Linked DNA regions of Oreochromis niloticus. The protein of the gene in region 1 interacts with the protein of each later gene in a pairwise test. Links are inferred from orthologs where the notes say so. Each region holds a gene or a part of one and is shown on either strand. Other genes may lie near its edges. The genes, in order: mad1l1, rnf8 and usp15.

Region 1 (7,758 bases):
CCAGAAAATGTCCAAAAATGAGGTGATTTTTTAAAAAATACTAAATGACAGATTTTAAAGTCTGTGATGTCACTGCAGAGAACAAAAGCATTAATTAGGTCCAACAACATGAGTGAGATTCGAGAAATAAATATCACTAGAGTGACTAAGAATAAATTCACAGAGAATAGATCTTTGAAGGAAGCTTTAGTGTCCAAATCAGAACAGGTCATAAAGTGTTCACTTCCATCTGAAGTCGACAGCTGTGCAGCCTGCTCTGGGGCAGGATGATTTAATGGAGGAGTACGAGTACCTGGGCGTCCACACTGACATAGGCTGAAATGCAAGCCTAACACAGAGAAAGTGCACAAGTAGGGGCTCTTTTTCATAAAGAAGCTGAGATCCTTCAATATGTTCAGCAAAATCAGTCAGCTGTGGCGAGCACAGTGCACTTTGCTGTGGTCTGCAAGGGAAGCTGGTGACACCAACAGACTGTATAAACTGATTAGGGAGGATAGCTCTGTGATTGGATGCAAACTGGACACTTTTGAAGCTGTGGTGGTGAGGAGGTCACTAAACAAACTGTGTTCAACATGCATAATGCATGCACCCTGTGCACCACTTATTGGACAGGTAGCAAAGGACCTTCTCTAGCAGGCTGATTCAGCCCTGCTGCTAAGAAAAGATTTAGGAACTCTTTCATACCGCATGCTGTCACCAGTAATACATCATGTGTGTCTGGTACAGAGTCATCTGAATAATAATGCATACTATTCATTTTAATATTGTATATAATATTATATATATATATATTCAATTCTTGTCATTATTTTTTGTCACCTGGCTGCAATGCTGTCTCTTAGCTTCCAGGACCACAGCACTCCTGGAAAAGATGCGAGTGGATACCAACTAATTAATTGTCCCTGGAAGATGTATGGCACAGCAGACCAGTGAAAAAAGCACATCATATCCACAGACTGTGACCTGCCCACAGCAGCACCCTCTTCAGCAACCAGAGGGAGCAGCCTGACACTGAAGAAAGAGGTGTTTTTACAGTCAAGATAAACAAGTTTCAGCAGGAAGAATGAAAACACAGATTTATGCACATTACAAAACATTTTTAATAACTTTATCAAAGTGAAATATTTTCAGAAGCAACTGTATGACTTACCCTTTTACATATTTATAACAATTTTAATGGTTTGATGTTGAAGTATATAAAATGATTCTATCTGAATTAATTTTGCTCATTTTGCAAGATCCTCTTTTCTCACTGATGATGGACCTTTGTAAACGGTGAGTGTCACATTTATTGAGTCCTTTTTCAGAATCAGCTTTGTGGAGATATGCTTGGATGAGTGCCTATATTTCAGTAATGTTTTAAAATGGCTAGATATGAACATTGGCTCACCGTGTACAGTTTTGGCTTTTTTTTAAATGGGTTATGAAACTGAATAAAAACAGAACAGAAAAGAATTTGGGAGCTGTTAAAGTAAAAAAGAAGAGAACAACTTTAATATACATCATCGTAGTGTGATTCAGAGTGTTATAGCCCAGAGTGAATGTGGTTTACATCACTGTTTATCTGATCAATCAATCACCACTTTAGTTATGTTTCTTGAAATGAATTGAACTCAACTGAATTAATGCAGGAAATCACCACAGGATTTGGGACGCTGGTAGATAGCAAAACAGCAAAGTGGCTATTCACACTAAATTTTGAAGAACAATAATTTAATGGAATAAAATGAGTACATGGAACACAGTTTAAATTAAACTACTATCATTCTCACACAACCTGAGGATCTGGAGGCATTCAAGAATTTGTAACAGGGTGGACACAATTCGACCAGGGGGCAGTAGTCCCCTAGTTTGAGCCAAGTCTCAGTGAAACAGAAAATGTCTAACATGTGAGAGGTGATGGAATCGTTAGGAACAAATGATTTATTGGACAAAGATCTGCTGTTAAAAAGGGTGATAATTGCAGGAGAGTGAGGTTTCAGACACATAGGCTAACAGGACACAATAATGATCGGGATCAATAAAATGACTCACAAGGCTGGAACCATCATTGGCCATAATTTGGAGTCAGTGAGGGACAGGAGGTCACTGAACAACTTGTCTCTATCATGGAAAACCCACCACACCCACTCTGCTCACATTTCTGACATAGCCAAGCTCCTCCTTCACCAGACTGACCCAAAACCCTGTCACCAGATAACAATGCTTCAGGAAATTATTCCTACCGATCTCTGTAAAACTGCAAAATAACTTTTATTTATGTGATAGCTGAACACAGTAGTCCCAAACATATTACATAGTGTATAGTGTACATATTTATTAATGCAATTTGCACTAAGATTATTATTAAACCTGGGTTTACAAATATGGTAAAGTGGAGGTGGTTGACCTCTAAGGGTAGTAGTGGTATAACAGAGGTTGTGCAAATGGTAAAATTCTATCTAATAGTAATAGTAAGAAAACAGCTCTACCCGAATGGTGCCGGAGTTAACAGGCTTTTCCGAGCATAATTGTATTTATTATTAGAAAACCAGAAATCAGAGGGGAAAAACAAACAATAAACAAACTAACAAAGAAACACGGGGTTTTAATTAAACAGTGCACGATTTATTCGTTTTCCCTATAAAAACAAACAAAAAAAGTTTGCTTTTGATACTCGCGATGGTACCAAATCTCGCGATACTACGTGCATCCCATTCGAGCTAAACTGGAGGGATTTCTGTAGTATTTAGTGAGCAGCTAACACGTTAGCAACACCGAGATAACCTATTTGCAAATAACTCGCTCCTTAAAAATAAAGAAACCAAGCCGGCTCAGAGGTGAGGACGTATTCTTACAAGCGATACCCATTTGTTTGCTACTTAAACGTAGCGTAGGGGGAATAGCTGTAGAAAACAGTCATGGTAAACTGAACTCTTGTCTAGCCTGTGGTGATACAGGAGTGAAGCAGTTTAAACTGTTCTTAACAAACCAGTGAATACCTTCTTGAGATAATTCTTGATAATTGCCAAATATGGCAACTAACGTAAACATTAGCTTTTGGTTAAGCTACTAAAGTTGTTTTCGTGTTTGTGCAGCTGAGCAAAGAAGCTAATACCACTTTTATCTTACTTTGCACTTTTACGTAGTTAATGCTAGGCACCTGTCTGCATATAACATTAACCTGTTAACATTTTTATCGTAAAGTTATAAAGCATGAAAATGGTGCACTTTAGAATTACTTAGCTAAACTTTACATGGCCGTTGTGAAGTCTTTTTTTTTTTTTTTTTTTTTTTTTACTCGTACTGTGAGCCTTTCGTTTGTGTGCTGCATCTTCCAGAATGGATTTAGAAGACGACACGACCATTTTAACAACCCTGAAGTCCTTCAATTCCTTCATCAGCCGCCCCGAACATCCACAGCGGCTGTCAGAGCACTCAGCAGGGAGTGGAATCCTGCAGAGTCAGTACAAGCGCAGCATGGAGGTACATACAGAAACTGTTTGCATCAACAGGGGGCAAAAAAGCTGAACAAAAATAGCATCAGCATTCAGCCTCCGCACTTACTAGCATATCCTTCTTTTAGCTTTTAGAAGCAGCAGAGAGGGTTCACTCCAAGAATCGCTACCTGCAGTTGGACCAGGAAAAGAAACAGATGGAGCTGAGTCACAAACGGGCTCGTTTTGAACTGGAGAAGGCAGCCTCAGACAGCGCACGAGACTTGGAGGTACATGCCATATATACTCCTTTAATACCACATGAACAAAGCATCAGATAGCTCACCACCTTGTTATGTTGCAGCATGAGGTGGATCGGAACCAGGAGCTTTTGGGACAAATAAAAAAGCTGGAGGAGAGAGCGGAGGAGGCGAATAAGAAGCTAACAGAGCAGAAGGAAGCAAATGATGCTCTCCAGATGAACCTGGAGGGTCTAAACAAGACACTGGAGGAACGAGATGATAAGCTTGGCGCAGCTAACCAGGTGCACGCATGCTTGTAGATTTGCACGCACAGTTATTTTGCCAGTCTGGTAGTGCCTCTTATCTTATGCTGGATTACCTCTGTTATCGGTTTGCAGACCATCAGCTCTTTGAAGGATGAGATCAGAGAGCTCAGGCAGAAGATTCAAAACCAAGACTCAAAAATCTCTGGTCAAACGCTCGAAAACCAGGAGTTACAGGAAAAGCTAGATTTGCAACAAAGGTACACACACACACAGACAGGGACTGACACTTCTTTGCTCTTTTTCATGCTAAAAAATATTGAGCTGTACTGCTTAATATAAATGCTGACCATGCAGTTTTCTCTGATTGCTGTTATGATCAGGAAGTATCAGGAAGTCTCTCAACTTTGCCAGAGTCTCCAAGCTGCGCAGTCGTCATGCTCTGAGCACATAATCAAGATTAAGGTACGAAATGCTGTCGCTTCTATTGGGCTCCTTGGGTTTCACTTCAGAGTTTACATGGTGTACGGATTTGTCTGTAGTTCAGAACATTCCAGTGTCCACAGTTCATGGAGAGGAAATAGTTGAAATAGTTAAGAATAGCAGTTTGTACATCTTTGCACTGATGTAGATGGTGTGGTTAAACAGCGTTATGCAGCTCACTCTACGTCAAATGTAAACCTACTAAATATGATTACGATTTAGACTTATAACCAATGCAGGCAAGATCATGTGCAGTATATCTGTTCAATTTTCTACATATCAGCTTTTTTGTTCAAACTACCTCTCTCCTTCAAATTGCATAATATCAGTTTAAATGTATTTTTTCCCCTCATAACATACACTTATTGAACATACCATTTTCAGCACCTTCAGAACAGCCTTAATTTTTCAGAGCATAGATTCAACAAGGTGTTGGAAACATGCCTCACAGATTTTTGTTCATATTGACATGATGGCATCACACAGTTGCTGCAGATTTGTCTGTCTGTTGGACTGAGGTCTGGGGGCTGTGGAGTACACTGTCATGTTCAAGAAACCAGTTTGAGATGATTTGGAGTCTTGTGACATGTCATATTATCTTGCTGGAAGAAGCCATCAGAGGTTGGGTACACTGTGTTCATAAAGAGACAGACATGGTCAGCTACAATCCTCAGGTAGGGTGTAGGTTTAAATGATGCTTAGTTGGTCCTAAAGCCCCTTTTCCATTAGTATTCACTCGGATCAGCTCGACATCGATCAGGCAACATTTTTCTAATCTTCTGTTGTCCAATTTTGGACAATAAAAGATTGCTGAGTCGTTGCCACGTGATTGGCTGATTAGATATTTACATTAATACAGGTGTAGGTGTGTGTGTGTGTGTGTGTGTGTGTGTGTGTGTGTGTGTATTACAGGTATTTGTTTCCATAAAGTGAATACAATCTGAAAATTGTATTACTGGTGAATTTCTCACTTTCTAATTTGGCAGGAGTTGGAAAGGCGGCTTGCGTTCCAGGAGCAAGACTTTGCCATTGTGAAGACTATAAAGTCAGAGGCGGCCAGAGTTCCAGATCTGGAAAAGGAGCTGAAGCGCCTCAAAGATGATAATGCCTACCTCAGGTTAAATACATTTTTGAAGTTTCCTTAACATGTAAACTCATTACACTCTAGTGCAGGGACCTTTCAATCCACAAGTTCCAATTCACACACATATACCACAAGCTCTTTTCTTTAACAAGTGTTTTTGGTATTTGTAATATGTGTTTGTGCCTGTATCGTCTCTAAAACCTTACACTATATGTTTAGGTTGATTCTGTTTGTACCACGTAGTTTGGATGTTACTGGGCATTAATGAGCATACAAGCACTTTGAAAGATTAAGTTGGATAACAGAAGATCCATTTGTCAAGTAACAGCCAAACAGCTTGTCAGACTAAGTGGAGAAATTCAGCAGTTGGTGTGTTTATCCACTTATCCTTTCTGTTGTATTACAGACATCTCAATTTAAAGCACGAAACTCTTTATACTTTCTCAAGATAACAGATTAAAAATTTTGCTGAAAATACCATAACTGTAACTAGGAATGTTCCTTATGCTATTCATAAGTCGATTAAATGGGGGGCGTGGGGGACTGACCAGTCTAAAAGTGCTCAGACAATCAATATACTGGCGACCTGTCCAGGGTGTACCCCGCCTCGCCCTATGACAGCTGGGATAGGCTCCAGCGCCCCCCGCGACCCTGAAAAGGATAAGCGGAAGTGAATGGATGGATGAAATTTGTGACACTTTGTGCTGTGCATACACATGCACATTAGCTTGCAAAGTGTGCCAGTGTTTTGCAGCTATCTGTCCTTGCAGATAAACCTTCACACACTTCACACAGTTATGTATTCTCCGGTCGAGTGTTTGTGTGTGTGTAACTGTCTTGAACAGGAACAAAGCTAATTAACCATTTTTTAAAATTTATTTGTTTATTTTTTAAATTGGAATATTATATTAGTAGTGTGGTGAGGGTGTGAGGGGACATGCTCCTCACACTCTGCCCATCTCCTATAGAAAATTAGTAAGGAAAACAAGGAAGGGATGTGCATAATGGAAAGGATCATCACACTAAGATTATTCTGGCAAGACTTAAATGGAATTCTGCAGAGCTGCACTGGTTAGGAGGACTATCACCCTTCTTACTTGTTTACATGTTTTGAGACAGAGAGGGTGACTGGGGGGCAAGGGGCTGCCATTTACTGAGAACTCCTGCTTATCATCTCAGGGCCAACAGTCGACTGGCATACATGAATGAAAACTCAATAAGTACTTGTTCATATTACTGAGTACTGCTGGTGCTGGATAGCAAGAGGAGCAAATATTCCAGGTTTAGTCTGGGAAATGTGCCTGAAAAGAAAGACCATGTGGATCAATCAGGGTTTGGTCTGATCTTCCAAGGCGAGTCTATTGTCTGGTCTCTGATGGTAGAGCAGTCCTCAAACTGTGGGGAGAATCTTGTTTCACATTGTCTGAAACAACAGAAGGAAGATTCTTCTTATATCTCCTAATCAGTCTCTATTGTCTGGACCGAGCTCTTTTCCCTTATTCTTTCCTCCTCTGCAACCTTTGCATTTTTTTCCCCCTAATTTCTACCGGCTTGTGTCAGCATAATCAGCTCCCTGGTGTAAACAATGTGAGCTGGGCAAAAATAGTGTTGTTGATTGAAGTGGGTAATAACATGGCCAAAACATATCGGAAGTTTCTCAAGTAGAGTTCACAGAAAAGTCACCCTAATCCAACAAGTGTGACTAAAGTAAAGAAAACATGAACTAGTGAGAGCAATATATTATAGCTATAATGCACAGTTGGTACATTGTTACGTGCATTTGTCGTCAGTCACTGTAATGTTAATATTGTTGAAAACGGGTTTCAAAATTGCATCCGAGTGTGACTGCAGCCAGGGACTGAAAGTTCCTCCATGTCTTGCATTAAACACTGAGCTATCAGTTTAATTTACTTTTTTTGTCTCTGTTCTGTCCAGGGAGAGCAGAGAAAATTGCAGCCTGTTGAAAGAGGAGGTGGAGGGTCTGCGGAAGAAGCTGGAGAGGATGGAGAAAACCAAAGAAGAGCTGATCAACATGGAACTGGAAAAAGAGGTAAAAGTCTGGGCAGTTAGAAATATAGATATTAAGAGAAGTATGTAATAAACAAAGCTTCAATGAGACATTTTTAGATAGATTAATGACTGGCTGCATCCTCGTGCAGGTTTTTGTGACTCCCTTTCGTCCATGTTTGTTTTTGCAAACTTTGAAGTTTAACTTTTAGAATTTACTTAAAAAAAAAAAAAAAAATCTAAGCTTGAAATATCCTCCCTTA
Region 2 (7,758 bases), on another chromosome or scaffold:
GGAGAAAAAAAAAATACATTAACTAAATATACCTTTGTCACCTCCAACTCCTTGTTTTTGGCCAAGAGAATCTCTTCAAAGCCTTGTCGAGAGAGCGCAAGTTCACCTATCACTTTCTTTTGCTAAGGGTTTGTGGAAAACAAATTCACATATTAAAACATATTCTGCTTTACCAAAATGTAAGCACTCTGAATTCTAACAGCTACTGCACAGAAATTAGTTTGATGCTACATACTTCTTGCAGGGCCTCTTCAAGCTGCTTTTTTAAAAGCTCCTCTTGTTGCTGCGTTTTCTGCTCCTACAAGCATAAAAAGGCGAAAGAGAATATTTTGAGTCTTGCAATTATTTATGCAAAAATTGTATTCTTTGGACTATAGGTGCAAAAGTATTGGGCCTACATCGCTTAATCTTTCAGTTTTTGTCCATCTGTTATAGAACTGCTGATCACCATGAAACATGCTGAAAGCGTATCAGCATATCATCCCAATATCTGTGCATCTACTTTCACACAGAGGCTGTATTTACCCTCTATGTGAGAGTAGAGGCCTGTGTGTTCCTTGATGGATGTGCCTCTACAGATCATCATGAACACAACACCAAAGCAGTTTTAATAAACAAGCACAACATTTCCCAGTGTCTATCATTCGTGCTTAGGGTGAACTGTTCTCATCCGTGAAAAGGAGAGACCTGCCAATTCTGGTATTCTATAGCTAATTCCAATCGGGCACCACAGGGCAGTGAGCACAGCCCCCAGTGGAGGACGTCAGCCCCTCAGGCCACCCTTATGAGTCTGTTTCTGACTGTTTGGTCAGAGACAATCACACCAGAGGCCTGCTGGCTGTCAAATAACTAAAATTTAATGACAGACGTGATTTAAAATATCAGCTTACAAACCAGGGCCAATAAAGCATGAACTGTCACTTGTAGGAGCTTTTAAAAAGAAAGTAACAACAAGACAACAAACAGAGGCTATTTTTAAAATGGGTGCTAATGAAGGAAACATAAAAGACACTATAAGAAAACAACAACAACAAAAACAAAAAAACAACTCACCTCTAGCAGCCTTTTAGTCTCACTAAAAGACTTCTCTAATGTCTCCATCCTGTGCATTTTAGCTCTGAGTGTATCTAGCTGACCTCGCAGCTCCCTGACCTGCTCCTCTCTGAGCGGGTCAGCCTGTCGGGGCTCCCCCTCCAGGGAGGCGACATGCCTCTGGGTGTCATCCACCTGCTCCCTTAAGAGCAGAATGTTCTGACTGTACCTGCAGACAATAAACACAGGAAGACAAAACTTCAGAGTAGTATTTTTAACTCACTCTTTTATTACTGGGTACATTTATTTCTTATCTTGCTGTTACTCTGGCTTACATTTGCAAGTTGTCCAAGTCACGGGTAGCGCTGGAGCCATCTGAAGGTCGTTCTGCTTGACGGTCATCTCTGCCAGGTCCGGTTCCCTCTGGCTTTGTGTGACTGAGTCGCTGCTGACCTTTTAGCAGAAATAAAGGGCAGGGCACTGCCAAGGACTTGTCTGCAGAAGAGCAGCGGTAGAGTTTGGGCTTCGAAGTAGATGGCTCCACTTCTTCCATGGTCAATTTCCTCTTGGGCTTCTTAGATATGTGGGCAGATTTTGAAGTTACTCGTTCTACCAGTTTCTTTGCCAGGAAGCATTTAATGTCTCTGAGGGGCTCCTGGACGAGGACATAGTCAAACTCTGCTTTGTTTCCAATTACAGGAACTCCGAGCTGTATGGAGTCTCCAAGCCTGAGCTGACGGGATTCATCAGAAGGCAGACGAGTTCCATTCACCCACACACCATTGAGACTCTGAGGAAAAAAAACAGAACCAATATAATACACTGGTACAGAAACATACTTAAAACTGAATTAACTTGAGATTTTAAATGCCCAAACTTAAGCTCAGACATATTGCCAGTTGCTGGAAATAACAAGACTGTAAAAAGGCATTTATGGATAAGGGTCAGGAATATTGACTAGTTATAAAATTATAATTTTTGTGCACAAGGTAGATAACAAAACCAGCAGCATTTATCGCCTCAACTAATTTGCCCTGGACAGGCCTTTAAAATACAAACTCATCACACGGCTGAAAGGCAGCACATGCAAATATTAAGTGACCCACTAAATTTCTTGGACTTTGTAGCATCTGGTGTGACCCAGAGCCGTATCCCAGCTGGGAGACAGGAGTAATTTTCCTTTTGTGGGCATGACAGAGGTGGTCAAAAGATGTCACGAAGGTACTGTGGATTGTTTGTAATCCATGTGTCTTGTACAGGATGTTCACACAACAAGCCTACACTACTTAAACATCCTGTCTCCAAGACATTTACACATGCTGGAGAGTAAACTGTTTAAGGATATTTCCTCACACCGAAACAATTTCAGGAGCCGTCTCAGCGGGTGAGTCCACTCCTTCGTGTCCAGGACACTGAAACGCTTTTCAAACATGCAACATTTTACAATGACGTCATTCTGCCGTTCAGACTGTAGGTCACGTCCACGTTAACGTTCCCCACCACAGCTTCATTCAGAGAAACATACAAAAGGGATGGGCACAGAGCCATAGTAGGCATGTGATTTTTACAGCATGTCCTAGATTAATACAATGAAGATTTCTACAACTTGCAGTACCAGTTATATTCTGATAGCTGCTTAGCTGCTGCTAAAAATATAAAACTGAGATGCTGTGTAAACACAGGTACACAGTATCATTCTGTGTTAGAGCCTGATTGATCCAGTCTGTCTTGTGCCACATGAGTTAATGTTTTTAGCTCTCCTCTGAGAGGCTCATGGGTAGATCCTGTAGCGGTTTGATGCTGCAGGAACGTAATAGACGCAAAGGAAAAGACACGGCTGGAGGCAACAATCTGGCTTCAGCTTCCGTCAAACTTCTTTCAAACCCAGATTAAAGCTGTTACCGATAAGCCCCATTAATGTGACCCATAATAAACTCAATGTGATGAGGGAGGTATGTAATAGACATTTCAGTCTGTAGCTGGTGTGAAATAGTAAGCACAGCAATTATTAATTTTTGTACATGAGATTACCAAAGACTACATAGTTGAGTTCAGAAAGCAAAATGAAAGCAAGTATGACAGGGAGTGATTTATTCATGAGCTGCACACTCGGATAGGCTGAGGCTGAAATGGAACAAACTGACAGGTGTTACAACCGAGAGCTGTCCAAACCTGACAGAGATAAATTTGGGACTTTTTAAGCAGATCCAGATAAAGACACTGAAATGAACCCATAACTGGAACTGGTATTTTTCCATTGTATTGTACACCAGGATGTGTTGCATAAGTCAGTGCTAAAAATGAACACATTACTGATGCTTGTTGCACTTTTGATTCCCTACTGCAGAGAACTTCAAGTCAGTATCACCACTGGATTTGAATTCTTCTCTCAAAAAGGAGAACTTTCAACACATAAGAAGGCATGCACAGAAGATGTTGGTCCTCTTTGAATCTAACTTTGTATGTAAACAGACCTTCTCATTAAGAAAGTTAATCATATCCCACCTCAGTGCTGACACTGAACCGGACTTTAACACACTTGTTAAGGGCCAAAACAGACTAGATTTCATTCGGTGAGTAAGGAAAGAAAGGCAAAACTGCAGATGAAGCAATTTAGACTACAAGTAAAATACCATAGCATGGAAATTTTGCATAAGGATGCACACTGTTTTAACAATCTTTGGGGAAATGTTCATTAAATAGAAATGGTAAAATATTGGCGCTTTAACTTAATCTATTTCACATTTTCATTGCCTAACATCTAATGTGATTCAATGTTGCTGTTGAAAGTCCTGAACCTTTGGCCTTCTGCATTTTAGTGTACCTCAGAACATAAAACAGTATATGATTAGTATGGTATTGCTGTCCACCTTTCATCTTATGTTGCTAGAGTTATAAGGGTTTGAAACTTTTGCTACTTGTCTATGTATAATTTGTGGTATCTGTTGCACAGTTTGCAAAACTTATTTTGTTGCCATTATATAAAGATGAGCGTGATAAATAAATACCATGAAATGATATACAGAATAACATAAACTTCCTACAACACAAATGGGCAAAATTGACATTCCCTGACATCCTTTATTTGTGATGAACACATAAATACATAAAAAAGTTGACAATGCTGATGCTCAAGTGTATTTATGGCTTTATGTCACAGTAAACCAGACTGACTCAAAACTTCACCAAATGCCAACATAATACTGGTGGGTTTTAAAACATGGACCCATTCTTATCTTCTAGATCTTCCCAAACTAATGGGGTTTAACATAATTTAGTAATATGTGCATCATGTTTTAATTTCGTGTGGCTCTATTTACTTTATCCACGTCAGCATGCCTCCCTTAGAGAAAGTGCAGCCCATCCCTGCACAGGACTTGTACCAAAGACCTCTAGCACAGCCTTTAAAATATATTTCACAATAAAGCTCGTTGTCACCTTCTTGTCTGTCACTGTCCAGTGGCCGTCTTCACTTTGTTTGAAAGTGCAGTGCAGTCTGGAGATCATCAGGGGACAGGCTGGAGACAGTAGTTGGTAAGTTACATCCACACCACGTCCAATGGTGATCTGCACAGCCAAAAATAAACACGTTAGTTAGCTCCACTCTGCATCTCTCCAGTTCTATAAAAAACGGACAGGGACACTCTTCAGCTTAAAACAATTCTAAATTATTAACCATAAATTGAGGGTAATGTTCCCCCTACATGTAAACTGGAATCTGCCGTGAACCTGAGCAAGCTTCATGTTAGTATAAATATAGCACGTTAGCTAACATTAGCAAGCTGCACCTCTGTGTTTTCGAACAAGCGAAGCCAGTCAGAGTTTCTCCCGACTCTCATCAGACAAAAAACCTCCGAGTCCGGACATTCATCGTCTTCAACCGCACAGCAATCCGCTGCCGTCTCTTTATCCATCTTATCTCATTCTATCAGCGGCCAAGTCGTCCGAAAGGACACCACTAACTGCGTTGTTTCAGCTCCTCCGCCACATCCCGACATACTGGGAGAAACCGGAAGACATTTCATTTTCTTTCAAAATAAAGGCCACAGATGTGCTTCAACGCTTATCTTTGGACAGCCCATGAATCACTTGGATCCCTCTAAAATCATTTAGTTTTTTTATTAATTCAAAATTTATTCAGCTTTTGCAGACCCAAAGTAGAAATATTACGGTGTCCATGAACATATTACAGTAGGGACAAAACAAGACGTAGAGTTTTATGTTTCGTCACTCATTCAAGTAACTTCTTCAGTTCACACAATGCATTATGCGAATATACTGTTTATAGAGTTGCTAATAAGGTCTGGAATTTAATTGCCTGCATGACTGAGCAACCATCAAGACAAATAAATAAATGAAATAACACTTTTAAATTTTACCCTGAACCAGCTGCTTAAAGTAAATACACCCATTTAGTTATATTAACACTGAAATACTCTTTTTTTTTTTTTACCCTCTCCACTTCATTTTCACCTCAGGAAAAAAAAACAAATCTTTTACAATTGAAGGTCAAGAATTATAATAATTTATAATTATAATAAAAAGTAATCATGTGGACCCTGTTAGTGTTGTAATAACACATGTTTAACTTCAAACCTTTTAATTATTCCTACATATAATAAGTTTGTGTTTGTTAGTTTGCATTTTGTATTGCCTCAAGACACCGTAGACGTCTATAATTTCTTTTGTTTTATCTCTTTTGGTAAGCACATTGAGTATAAGTGTAAGGAATGGTGCTATATAAATAAAACTGACACTGACACTGATATTACACAGTCACAGTCATATTGTATTTTATTATAAATATTATTTGTTTTTTCGTTAGAGCTTGTGTTTACTGTTATTTACCATTCAAAAGCAGTGTAGTGAAAGATACTTATACCTAAAAAAAAAAAAGAAGAAAAAAGTGGAGAATACAACAACAACAACAAAAACCCAAACAGCCAAACATGAACATTGTTACTTTGCAGTATTTTAACCGTAGTACTGCTTCATAACTGTTGCTGGTGTATACAGTTGTTAAAAATCCCTGCACCTTTAAATAAAATAGCTCTTCTTTCTCCCCGCAGCTCTCAAACCTCTAACGCGCCGCGGTGCTCTTCGTCCATTCGGGCGACCCCGAGTCCCGAAACGCGCGCACCCCGAGCTCCAGGCGGGACTTCCTTTCTCCTGCGGATGCGCTGATATTAGGGTGAGCAGGCAGAAAGGGCTTGGTCGGGGTGTCACCGGTCTATCCGCGCGCCTCTGCACAGCAGATGACCTGGCCGACGACTCCGCTGCCGCTGAAGCCCCGTAGATGAATCTCCTCCTCGGCTATGCTGCCCTGAGAGCGCCGCGAGTATCCGCCCCGCCAACATGTCTGATGTCAACAAGACTATTCAGAAATGGCACGCCAGTTTTAAGAAAGGCACAGACTTTGACTCGTGGGGACAATTAGTGGAGGCTATAGATGAGTACCAAATGTAAGTTGCATTCAACATGTGTGTCCTGTGTGTCCACAGCGCTGGTTTAACCCGAACGCAGTCCGGGCGCTGTGCTTCTTCTTTTTTTTATTCTTTTCCTTTCTCTGGGTCGCCTGTCCCTAAAATCTGCAGGGAAACATGTAGGAGACAGTAGGTGCAAGAAGTTAGCCCGTGTGCTGTCAGTCAGCTCTCGGAGCAGTAAATAAACCCTACCCATCCATGACGTGATGTGGCAGTTGTTGCAGTGGGGAGCAGATGTGTTGCCTGATGCATCCTAGCTCCGTCCACAGCAGCACTTTGGAGTTTAAGGGAGAGTCCGTCCATGTAGCCTGTCATGGAAAATCGGTCGGAGCTGCGAGCAGTCTGTTTCATTATGTGTCATGCAATGCAGAAACGGGCCAGTATTCCTCAGAGTGTTGGGAAACAGTCAGCCACACCCTCTCATTGTTATGGGTGGGTTTCATCTGCTGAGTGAGGAATGGTTTCTGCTTCTCAGACCAGATCTTTGTCTTTGCAATTTCCTTAAAATGTGCCCAGCTTCTCTCCCAGTTAATAGTTTATTTAAAACTGCACTAACAATACAAAAATCCAGATCCATGCAGCAGCTTCTACTGTCCGCAGGGGGGCGCACAGACACACACCTTACCTTATAGGAGTCTTGCAGGGTCTTGCAGTGAATCATTAACGCGTCTGTGTTTCATGTGGGTTCGTGTAGTTTGGCAAGACAACTGCAAAAAGAAGTCCAGTCAACAAATTCATCAGACTTCACCGAAGAGCAGAAGGTAATCATTACATCCGCCTGCAGCTTCTGCACCGGAGTGTCTGTCACTTTACTTAAACTAACAAGTGTTTTTTTTTTTCTTTTAAAGAAAACTCTGGCAAAGATTGCAACATGTCTGGAGATGAGAAGTGCCAGTTTGCAGGTTTGTATAGGAGTCTGCATGATTAGTAGCTACAGAAAGGAGGCAATGTCCAGGTTTTCAGAGATGCTGAGGTCATCATTATTATATAAAAGTAAAATTTGAGCATCAGCAGTTTTACTTATGCATATAACGCTTTTGAAAGTGGTCTTGAGCAATAGTTCTCCAGGCTTTCTGAAGGTCTTTCAAAGTTTGTCTTTGGACATTGGCCAATGGTCCTTGTACCTGACCATTTCCAAAGGGAAGTTTTTCCTTGTTAAGTCACTTAACACTAACCTGTGACTCATTCAAGCATAAAAAGGCACCTAATTCAAGGGACAAAACGGTCTTGTATTTACACATAT
Region 3 (7,758 bases), on another chromosome or scaffold:
ACCTTGCAGTGCTTCACAAACATACCCTGTTCAACCACCTGCAAAAAGAGGATGATAATCAATTTACTGCTTTAAACCATGATTATCTAATGTTAAATTATTACGCAATGAATGAGGGACACGGCCCTAATTCATGAGTAACCCTTAAGATGGGTGCATACTGTATGATTTTCGGCTGTCCCACACAAAAAGATCAATCAATGTAAAAGAACTGTGTAGATAACTCAGAAATGATTGCCTTAGAGAAGTCTAACGTTTGCACTTACAACGGCCTTGCAAGGAAAAATACCCTGGAACATCAATTTAACTGTGTAAAAATCTCACAATCTGACCGTCCACTAATCAGCAAACAGGAATGTAGCACTACATTACACGACAGACAACAGTAACAAGTCAGGCTGAACAGACAGAAGTAAAACATGAAAAACTAAATGTTTAAGATTCCAACATAGAGGCAAGTTTGGCTGAGTTGTTCCAGCAGAAGCCTTTGACTGTAAGATGTTTGTCCAATTGTTATCATGGCTGAGCTTAGCTTTGACAGAAGTTTAGGCACCCAAAAAGAAACTGTGACACCAACCTGGCAAAAATAATCATGATGCAACTCTTATCTCCTTTTCATCAAATTCCTGCAAGACTGAAAGCAAACTCCTAAGTTTAATGTGCTAGAAAAAGTTTAACAAAATGGATAACAAAGCACACTAAGCTCTGCTGCGCTGGTCTCTACTCATCTGGAGTCCTGATACTTCACAGTCAGAGTGAAGTGCCTAAATTAGCAGCACCTCGTGGAAACAGCTGAGGGGTCCCAGCCTATTTATTTCACCCCTGAGCCCCTCCAACACACAGACACTGACGCTACTAAACTGCAAAAGTCCTTCACACACAGCTTAGATTCTCTCAGCACCACAACCCTCCCCTACTCAAGGCTCTTGGTGGGCTAGTACACCTCAGCGCACCACCCATCTGTCTGTGAGCTCAGTCAACGTCCAACTCACCACCAAGCTCTGACACAGTTTCTCAAATCAAAGCCGAGCCAAAACCATTTAGGCCACCCACGCCGCTTCTCCTATACTGGTTTGCCTCTCCTCACACTCCTTTGAAAAGCTTTCGCGCTGCTTCTCTCAGTGTGACCTCAGCTGGCATTCCTCCGCTTGGAAAACAAGGACGCAGGAGCTCTCCACCATTGTTGGCAATCAAACCACAAGTGGAAAGCGGAAGGAGCCACAGTGTCATACCAATGACTACAATCCTACAGTTCCCCCCAGCATACCCCCCACCCTCAAGTTGACAATATAGAAACAATAGGGTAAAAAGAAGAAGAAAACCTCCTTCATGTTGTGTCTCGCAGATCGCTCCATGTAGCTTTTCAGTCATCCAGAACGTTGCCTGAAAATAGAAACCTTGCAGCTACCCGATACGCCGCATGACATACATGGCAAAAGAGGAGGGTCAATGTAGGGGGGGAGACGAGAGACAGACTGATAGATATGGAGAGGGAAGAGGAAGTGCTTCCAGCAGCCATGATGCCATGACTAGCGAGATTTTAAGAGTTGCTTTGATAGCAAAAGTGCCATCACACAGTATTCAACTGTAATCACAAACATATAGGAATTCTTCATTTTTTTTACTCCAGCAAACCTCACATACTCTTATGCTAATATGGAAATAGATAAGCACACATACTGCGTTTCATTCATAAAAGAAATGAATGAAAGGCAGCTTTATTTTTTTTTTAAATTTCTTTGTGATAAGTAAACACCCAGTCTTTCACTATTATTTCTGAGATTCTGTGTAGTGTACACAGAGTAAATCTGTGTAAATCTACCTGACCAACCAAATTATATCAAAAATGAATGTAATGGTTAACTATTCTTTGCAGTTCTTTTTGTTAAATATCTGTCATCATAGAGCCTTTCACTATCACTGTTCAGCAACAGTGACCCAAGTTCAAGTTTCCTTTTCCAAAAGTGCTGCGTGTCTCATTTTCTCAAACAGCCTTATTAGCACAATGTTCTCCCTTTTACCCCAACACAAGTCACACTGCACATTAAATCTACTGATTCTGTATCTGAGAAAACCATCTGAACTGGCAGCAGAACAACATGTAAAAAAATCCATTCATAATCTTATGCTAATAACTGAACCCTTACCTTGCGAGCGATTGGCTCCTGACCCTCTGTGAGTCCATACCAGCTGACGAGCTTATTCCAGCCTTCTGTTGGGACCAGAATGTAGTCCAGCTCATCAATGAGGTGTTCCTTGATGGCGAGCACATCCCCATCTAGAGGGAGGGATGGTCATTCACATGCAGTTAAACAAGAGAAAGCACGTTCTCTTGTGCACATTCTGTGGGTCAACACTTACACTATTGATAACACACAAAGAACAAGGTGAGCTGGAGAGCTTTCTATGACCCCACTCTAAAGAAAGGCTACTCTCTGGTTAGTAGACAATGTTTTTTGTGTGCGTGTATGTCACTTGTCCATAAAGCTAACCTACCAAAAACTGCTTTCCCATACATTTATCATATACTTTTAGAAGGGATAAAATAGAGATCTAAAGAGATGGACTATTACTGGACTTACCTTTGAGAAGACCAGAGTTATCAACCGGTCCTGGGTAGACATTCTGGTCTCCCATCTGGTATTTGTCCCAGCTGTCAAATCCCACATATTTCTTCCACTGTTTGAACCAGTGACTGTCCACTAGGTACCTGCAGAGAAAGCAATCAAGATTACAACATCTCTACTAAAAGCAAGATGTGAAAGTCAAGAGTTAAATAAAAGGGGTGGTGGGTTGCATTAAAGTATTGGGCTATAAACCAGGTTACCTTGGGGCTACCTTGCAGTGAGTACCCGAAACAAATCTGGTTTTGGGAGGCATACATTACACAGACTGACAGTTGTAACAGTAGCTTTTAGCCGCCGTGTTGAGTTCAAATTGCTACAAGCCTAGCCAGCTGGCTCTGTGATTTTGACAGGTGTTTTTTTCCGACTCCGCCCTGCTGAAGTCGGCGGATGAACCCACTGACAGGCAAACCGCTTGGATCATCGGCAAGCTAGCCAATTAGCTGATAGCCTGATAACTATCTGTATCACTCAAACGGCATGTAGCCTTACACATCCACAGAAAATATGTGACACCGTTTTTTGGAAGTGAAGGATATAAACACCAAAATACAACATTTAAATTTAGTTTAACTGTTTTGAGTCTTAGCGTGAGCTCAACCAGCGCTAGCCTGCCAAGCTGACACATGAAGCTGACAGGCAGCCGTTAGCTAGCTCGGAGCTCACTGTCAACACGGCCCGGCCGTCTGGATTTCACATCCTCCGTGGGGTTGACAGCCTCAGCAGACCCAGCCCAGAGCCACGCAGTGCCCTTGAAAAGATCACAGTCAATTCTTACCAAGTGTCTCCCTTTCTTAGTTGTGTTTTCAACAGTGTCGCGACCTCTCCTCTTTGGGTATCCAGATCAGCCGCTCCTCCTTCCGCCATCTTTCCTTAGACATTCCCCGGTGCATGGTGGGAAAAAAAGCGGCGCGTCATAGAGGCACGTAGAGAGCGACGCCGCTGCTGCAGCCAATCATCACAGGGGAAGCGTGACACCCAGTGGCAAAATTATTCTAGAAAATGTTTCAAAAGTGCTCCATCATTGTGGATGCACGGGTTTACAGCTGAGAAAGAAACTGTGCCTTTAAAAATAAAGACCAGCAATGAGGGGAAACAACACAAGTGACACTTTTTAACACTCCGTGAACACTGTAGAAGAGAAAATCCCAATATAAAGAATCTGAACGTTGAACCATCTATAATATTGCAATTTTGGGAAAAGTACTGTGAAAGCAGAGTTTTATGAACTGCCAGTTACCTCACACTATAACATATCCTACACCTGGAAAAGGAAAACAATTAACAAGTGAATGCAGTTCCTGAAGAAAATGTGGTCTGAATGCTGAAAGCTCAATGATTTGAGTTTTCAAAGCTCTAAAGTAGTTGAATATCTTTAAAATGTACATTAGAAAAGCTGACAAATGACAAAAGAAAAATCTGAATGAATATTGAAAGCTCATATTCTTTCAATGTACAATAATAAAAATAATATGATTGTATCCACGTTTGCATATTTGCACATAGCTGTTTTATTTATTTATATATTTTTCATTTTATTATGAATTAATATTGTTTTGCTGGGCTGTGCCATGTTATGTCTGTGTTTAACTGCCATAACAATAATTTCCTGCAAAGGACTATAAAATAAAGTATCTCTCGAGCTATTGATCAATCTACAAACCTACTCCTGCAATAGCTACTCAGGTGTACCTTGATAACACACTCAACATCGTGACACAGTGGTGCACATGTTCACTGAGACTGGGATTTCTACATGACTGCAAGTCAAATAGTTCCACTGTAATAGAAGATTATGAACTTCTGAAATTTTACCTTTGCCAAATACTGCTCATATAATAATAATAATAACTAAGACAGAAACCAGTCAATATTAATAAAGCAATAACAATATATTTTTTTAAAAACTAACTGTAAACAATAATCCAACTCTGGAAAGTAACTGAAACTAAACGGGTACCTTTAATAGCATACTTTATACAAGCTAAGCACTTGCAAAGTCCGCAGATGTTATACTTTATCACTTTATAGAACATGATTTTATGAAGAAAAAAAAACATATCAGTAAAATCCTGATGTGATTTGTTGGTGATTTGTTCTCCATTTTCATAAAATTGGAGACTTTTGATTGTTACGGACTGATTTTCTTTTTTTAAAGTTACATTTGTAGCAGCAGGTGCATGTTCAAAAGACACAGGAAGCCCAGATGCTCCAGTTTTCCACTAGCACTTGAATGCTGCATGCATTTGTGGATTTGTACAAAGTTAAAGTTGAAGAGTCTCAAAACCCAACATGCACATGTGACATGTCCCTTTGTATCAGCCAAATGTATTCATTTGTATTTATTCATTTTCTAATATAAAGATTGTACACAAGTGTGTGGATTGAAACATACCTTTGGTGTTACTCAACTCCATCAAGTTTTGTTAAACCAGACAACAGACACTAAAAACTTATTATATAATTATATAATTGAAAATAGCATAATTTTCAAAATGAACTTCATGTTGTATTTAGCAGTGACTATTGCTCTCTCTTGCTAGCTATGAAAACCAATGCAGCTGTAAGGCACTTTCACAGTGGCTTCACTTTTTCAGCAGTAACTACATCCTACGTTTATATATAGTCTGTGGTTTAAACCTGACAAAGAGTGGTGTTTTGCTGCAGGTTCCAACTTGAATAACATGTTTTAGAGAAATGAACCCAGCAAGCATTTAGGTGAGCTTTGAAGTAGAAGTTTGCACTCCTTTAGTGCTATTGTCACAAGTGTTCACCTACAAGCACCAACCTGTTTTAAATCCAGTTGTATTACAAGCCAGTGTACACAAGGAATGAGGTACTATAGGTGTAAGCCTGAGTAAGATAATAGTGTGTTTAATCCACCAGAGTTTCCATTTAAATAGCAGGTAAACACAGGCGTTACTGATCACATTAGTTAAAGGTCTGTGCCTAAGCAGAAAAGAACAATGGCTGCTGTGAAAAAGACTATGCGACTCTTTTTTCCCCCCCTTAAAGCTTCCATGCTTAACATCCACATCCCCGAATCTGGATTATTTTTTCAGACTTTAGGAAGTTCCCCTCGGAGAGCAAAGAAAAAATGGTTCAGGACAACTTACAAAGTTTATTTTTCAATCCGCACTTACAACAGTAATGTTTCTTTGTACAGTCATTATACGTTACAGTACAAAAAATGAAACTACAGTTTATATACCATATTAGTCCATATCAGTATTCTGCATTTCCAAGTATTTATTCTGCATCCTATTATGTCTACTGTTAAGCATAATCTCATTTTCCCTAAATACAAAAGGAAAACCTCTGCAGTTATTTATCACAACATAACAATATGATACAAATATGACAAAACAGCCATGCAGTGTTGTCAGATACATAAAGGAGCATTAAGAAGTTGCTCTCTAAGTGTTATGGAACATCCAATGATTCAGCTGTTCCTCCCATGACTTTGCTTTTCTTGGGTTACTTATAAACTTTACCGATGGATTCCCAGACTCAAGAACAAGTTTGTCTAAATTACTTTTGTCCCTGAAAAACTCTCCTTTCCACTCTGAAAGTTCTTAATTCAAATGGCAGGCTACTTTTTTAATTTCTTCTGCCCTATTTTATCACTCAAAAATCGTCATGCCACTACTTTCGCCTGAGTCCACCATGTATGTTATGTATTAAAGTCAGTGGATCCCACAGACCACTGAAGCCTCACAAGTTGGAGTCTGCCTCGGAGACCGGGAAGTAGCCATTTGTAGTCTTGGTGGTGTCTACCTCTGGAGCAAAGATAGCCAGTAACCTCTCCTGCTCCCTCTTGGTTTTAGGTAAGTCGTCAGATGGTCTGATGAGCAACTGGATGCGCTGTGAATGAGCAAACAAAGATTAAAATCGGGAGCACACGAGTTGGGCGCATGTTTTCCACTGACAGGATGATCAGCATACCTCTCTGAGTGTCCCCTGGGTGGTGCTGATCTTATACACCATCCACAGTGGGATGCAGACCATGGAGGAGAGAGCAAGCAGCCAGCCGATCACATATCCCCACCACGGGTACACATACTCATTGTTGTACTTCAGAGGAGTGTATTTAATGAGGGAGAATGCAAAGGTGCCCTGCAGAGACAAGGTAACAGGGTACGGCAATTAGTGAGGATCAAAAACCTGCTTTATTTCCTCTTTTTTTTTTTCGCTAATAGAACATTTATTGTCATTTTGGGAACTTTATCTATTTTACTGAGACTCACAATGCATGTGGCAGGGGAGAAGAACAACCAACAGCACTTGATATACGGTCCTGGCCGGTAACCAATCATATCCTCAATGTTATCGTAAAAGCGATCAGCGCCTGGAAAAACACGATTTAGACACATGTCATCGTGGCACAATGTAACTCCCAGCTGGGTGTCTGCTAGTAACTTGGGTGAACACTCAGAATTACTCGTCAAAGCTTGTGCTGTAATCTTACATGCAGTTCTGTTTGCTTACCATAAACCCACGCAATGCAAACTGTCTCAAAGATGGACATGAAGAGAAGACACATGCCACTGGCTGCGTAGTAATCAAAGAGCTGAAAGACATACATGCCCCCCTAGACAGATAGAAACCAAAGAGGTATAATCATTCAAATATAGTTTACAGTTACAGTTTTAGACAGTTTTTTTCTACTCTTGGCTCCGTATGAAGTCACTGAAAGGAGATATCCCTAATATGGTCATCTTAGGCACATAGCTTTTGCTGCACACACCTGCAAACCCCCTTTGTTTTTGTCTTTTTACGAGGGGCAGCCAATCAGAAGAAAGCTGGTTTAAAGGGTTTAAGGTTAGGATGGCTTATTGCAAAACTATTCTAATAAGGTCCAAAAATAAAAACTGAGACCTGGAAATGGGCATAATAGGTCTCCTTTAACTAAAAATGAATGGTAGCTTGAAAACTGTACAGTAAAATATTGTTATTATACTATAATACTGTTATTATACAAAGACCTTGAAACCTTGAAGCCCCAAAGTTGACTATTTCAGCCCTCATCCTAAAATTGGGAGCATTGCATAACAATGCTTGTCACTTACCTGAGAAGGGTCGCACAAAACCATTGACGCGCTTGTACTTACAAACTGAGGACTTGTTGACACCT

The links.
Region 2: the proteins of mad1l1 (region 1) and rnf8 interact in binary tests that used the Homo sapiens proteins (3 or more experiments, as listed by UniProt). The two-hybrid records come from large-scale screens. The link is inferred for Oreochromis niloticus from reciprocal best matches to the Homo sapiens genes MAD1L1 and RNF8.
Region 3: the proteins of mad1l1 (region 1) and usp15 interact in binary tests that used the Homo sapiens proteins (3 or more experiments, as listed by UniProt). The two-hybrid records come from large-scale screens. The link is inferred for Oreochromis niloticus from reciprocal best matches to the Homo sapiens genes MAD1L1 and USP15.

The regions. Positions count from the first base shown.
Region 1 is NC_031971.2:11,902,149-11,909,906, reverse strand, and holds the start of mad1l1 (mitotic spindle assembly checkpoint protein MAD1), read left to right. Parts: upstream 1-2,663; 5' UTR 2,664-2,819; intron 2,820-3,320; 5' UTR 3,321-3,321; coding exon 3,322-3,465; intron 3,466-3,565; coding exon 3,566-3,706; intron 3,707-3,780; coding exon 3,781-3,960; intron 3,961-4,056; coding exon 4,057-4,181; intron 4,182-4,304; coding exon 4,305-4,386; intron 4,387-5,390; coding exon 5,391-5,521; intron 5,522-7,423; coding exon 7,424-7,538; intron 7,539-7,758. UniProt on the Homo sapiens protein: Component of the spindle-assembly checkpoint that prevents the onset of anaphase until all chromosomes are properly aligned at the metaphase plate.
Region 2 is NC_031980.2:14,135,121-14,142,878, reverse strand, and holds the start of rnf8 (E3 ubiquitin-protein ligase rnf8), read right to left. Parts: upstream 5,056-7,758; 5' UTR 4,947-5,055; coding exon 4,806-4,946; intron 4,600-4,805; coding exon 4,471-4,599; intron 1,823-4,470; coding exon 1,368-1,822; intron 1,262-1,367; coding exon 1,054-1,261; intron 299-1,053; coding exon 236-298; intron 123-235; coding exon 33-122; intron 1-32. Other genes in the region: aida (axin interactor, dorsalization-associated protein), read left to right, coding at 6,388-6,494, 7,210-7,276, 7,364-7,417. UniProt on the Homo sapiens protein: E3 ubiquitin-protein ligase that plays a key role in DNA damage signaling via 2 distinct roles: by mediating the 'Lys-63'-linked ubiquitination of histones H2A and H2AX and promoting the recruitment of DNA repair proteins at double-strand breaks (DSBs) sites, and by catalyzing 'Lys-48'-linked ubiquitination to remove target proteins from DNA damage sites.
Region 3 is NC_031981.2:6,282,112-6,289,869, forward strand, and holds the start of usp15 (ubiquitin carboxyl-terminal hydrolase 15), read right to left. Parts: upstream 3,531-7,758; 5' UTR 3,492-3,530; coding exon 3,403-3,491; intron 2,711-3,402; coding exon 2,583-2,710; intron 2,279-2,582; coding exon 2,148-2,278; intron 1,415-2,147; exon of another isoform or gene 1,356-1,414; coding exon of another isoform or gene 1,323-1,355; intron 39-1,322; coding exon 1-38. Other genes in the region: sodium- and chloride-dependent GABA transporter 2, read right to left, coding at 6,339-6,488, 6,570-6,740, 6,872-6,972, 7,113-7,215. UniProt on the Homo sapiens protein: Hydrolase that removes conjugated ubiquitin from target proteins and regulates various pathways such as the TGF-beta receptor signaling, NF-kappa-B and RNF41/NRDP1-PRKN pathways.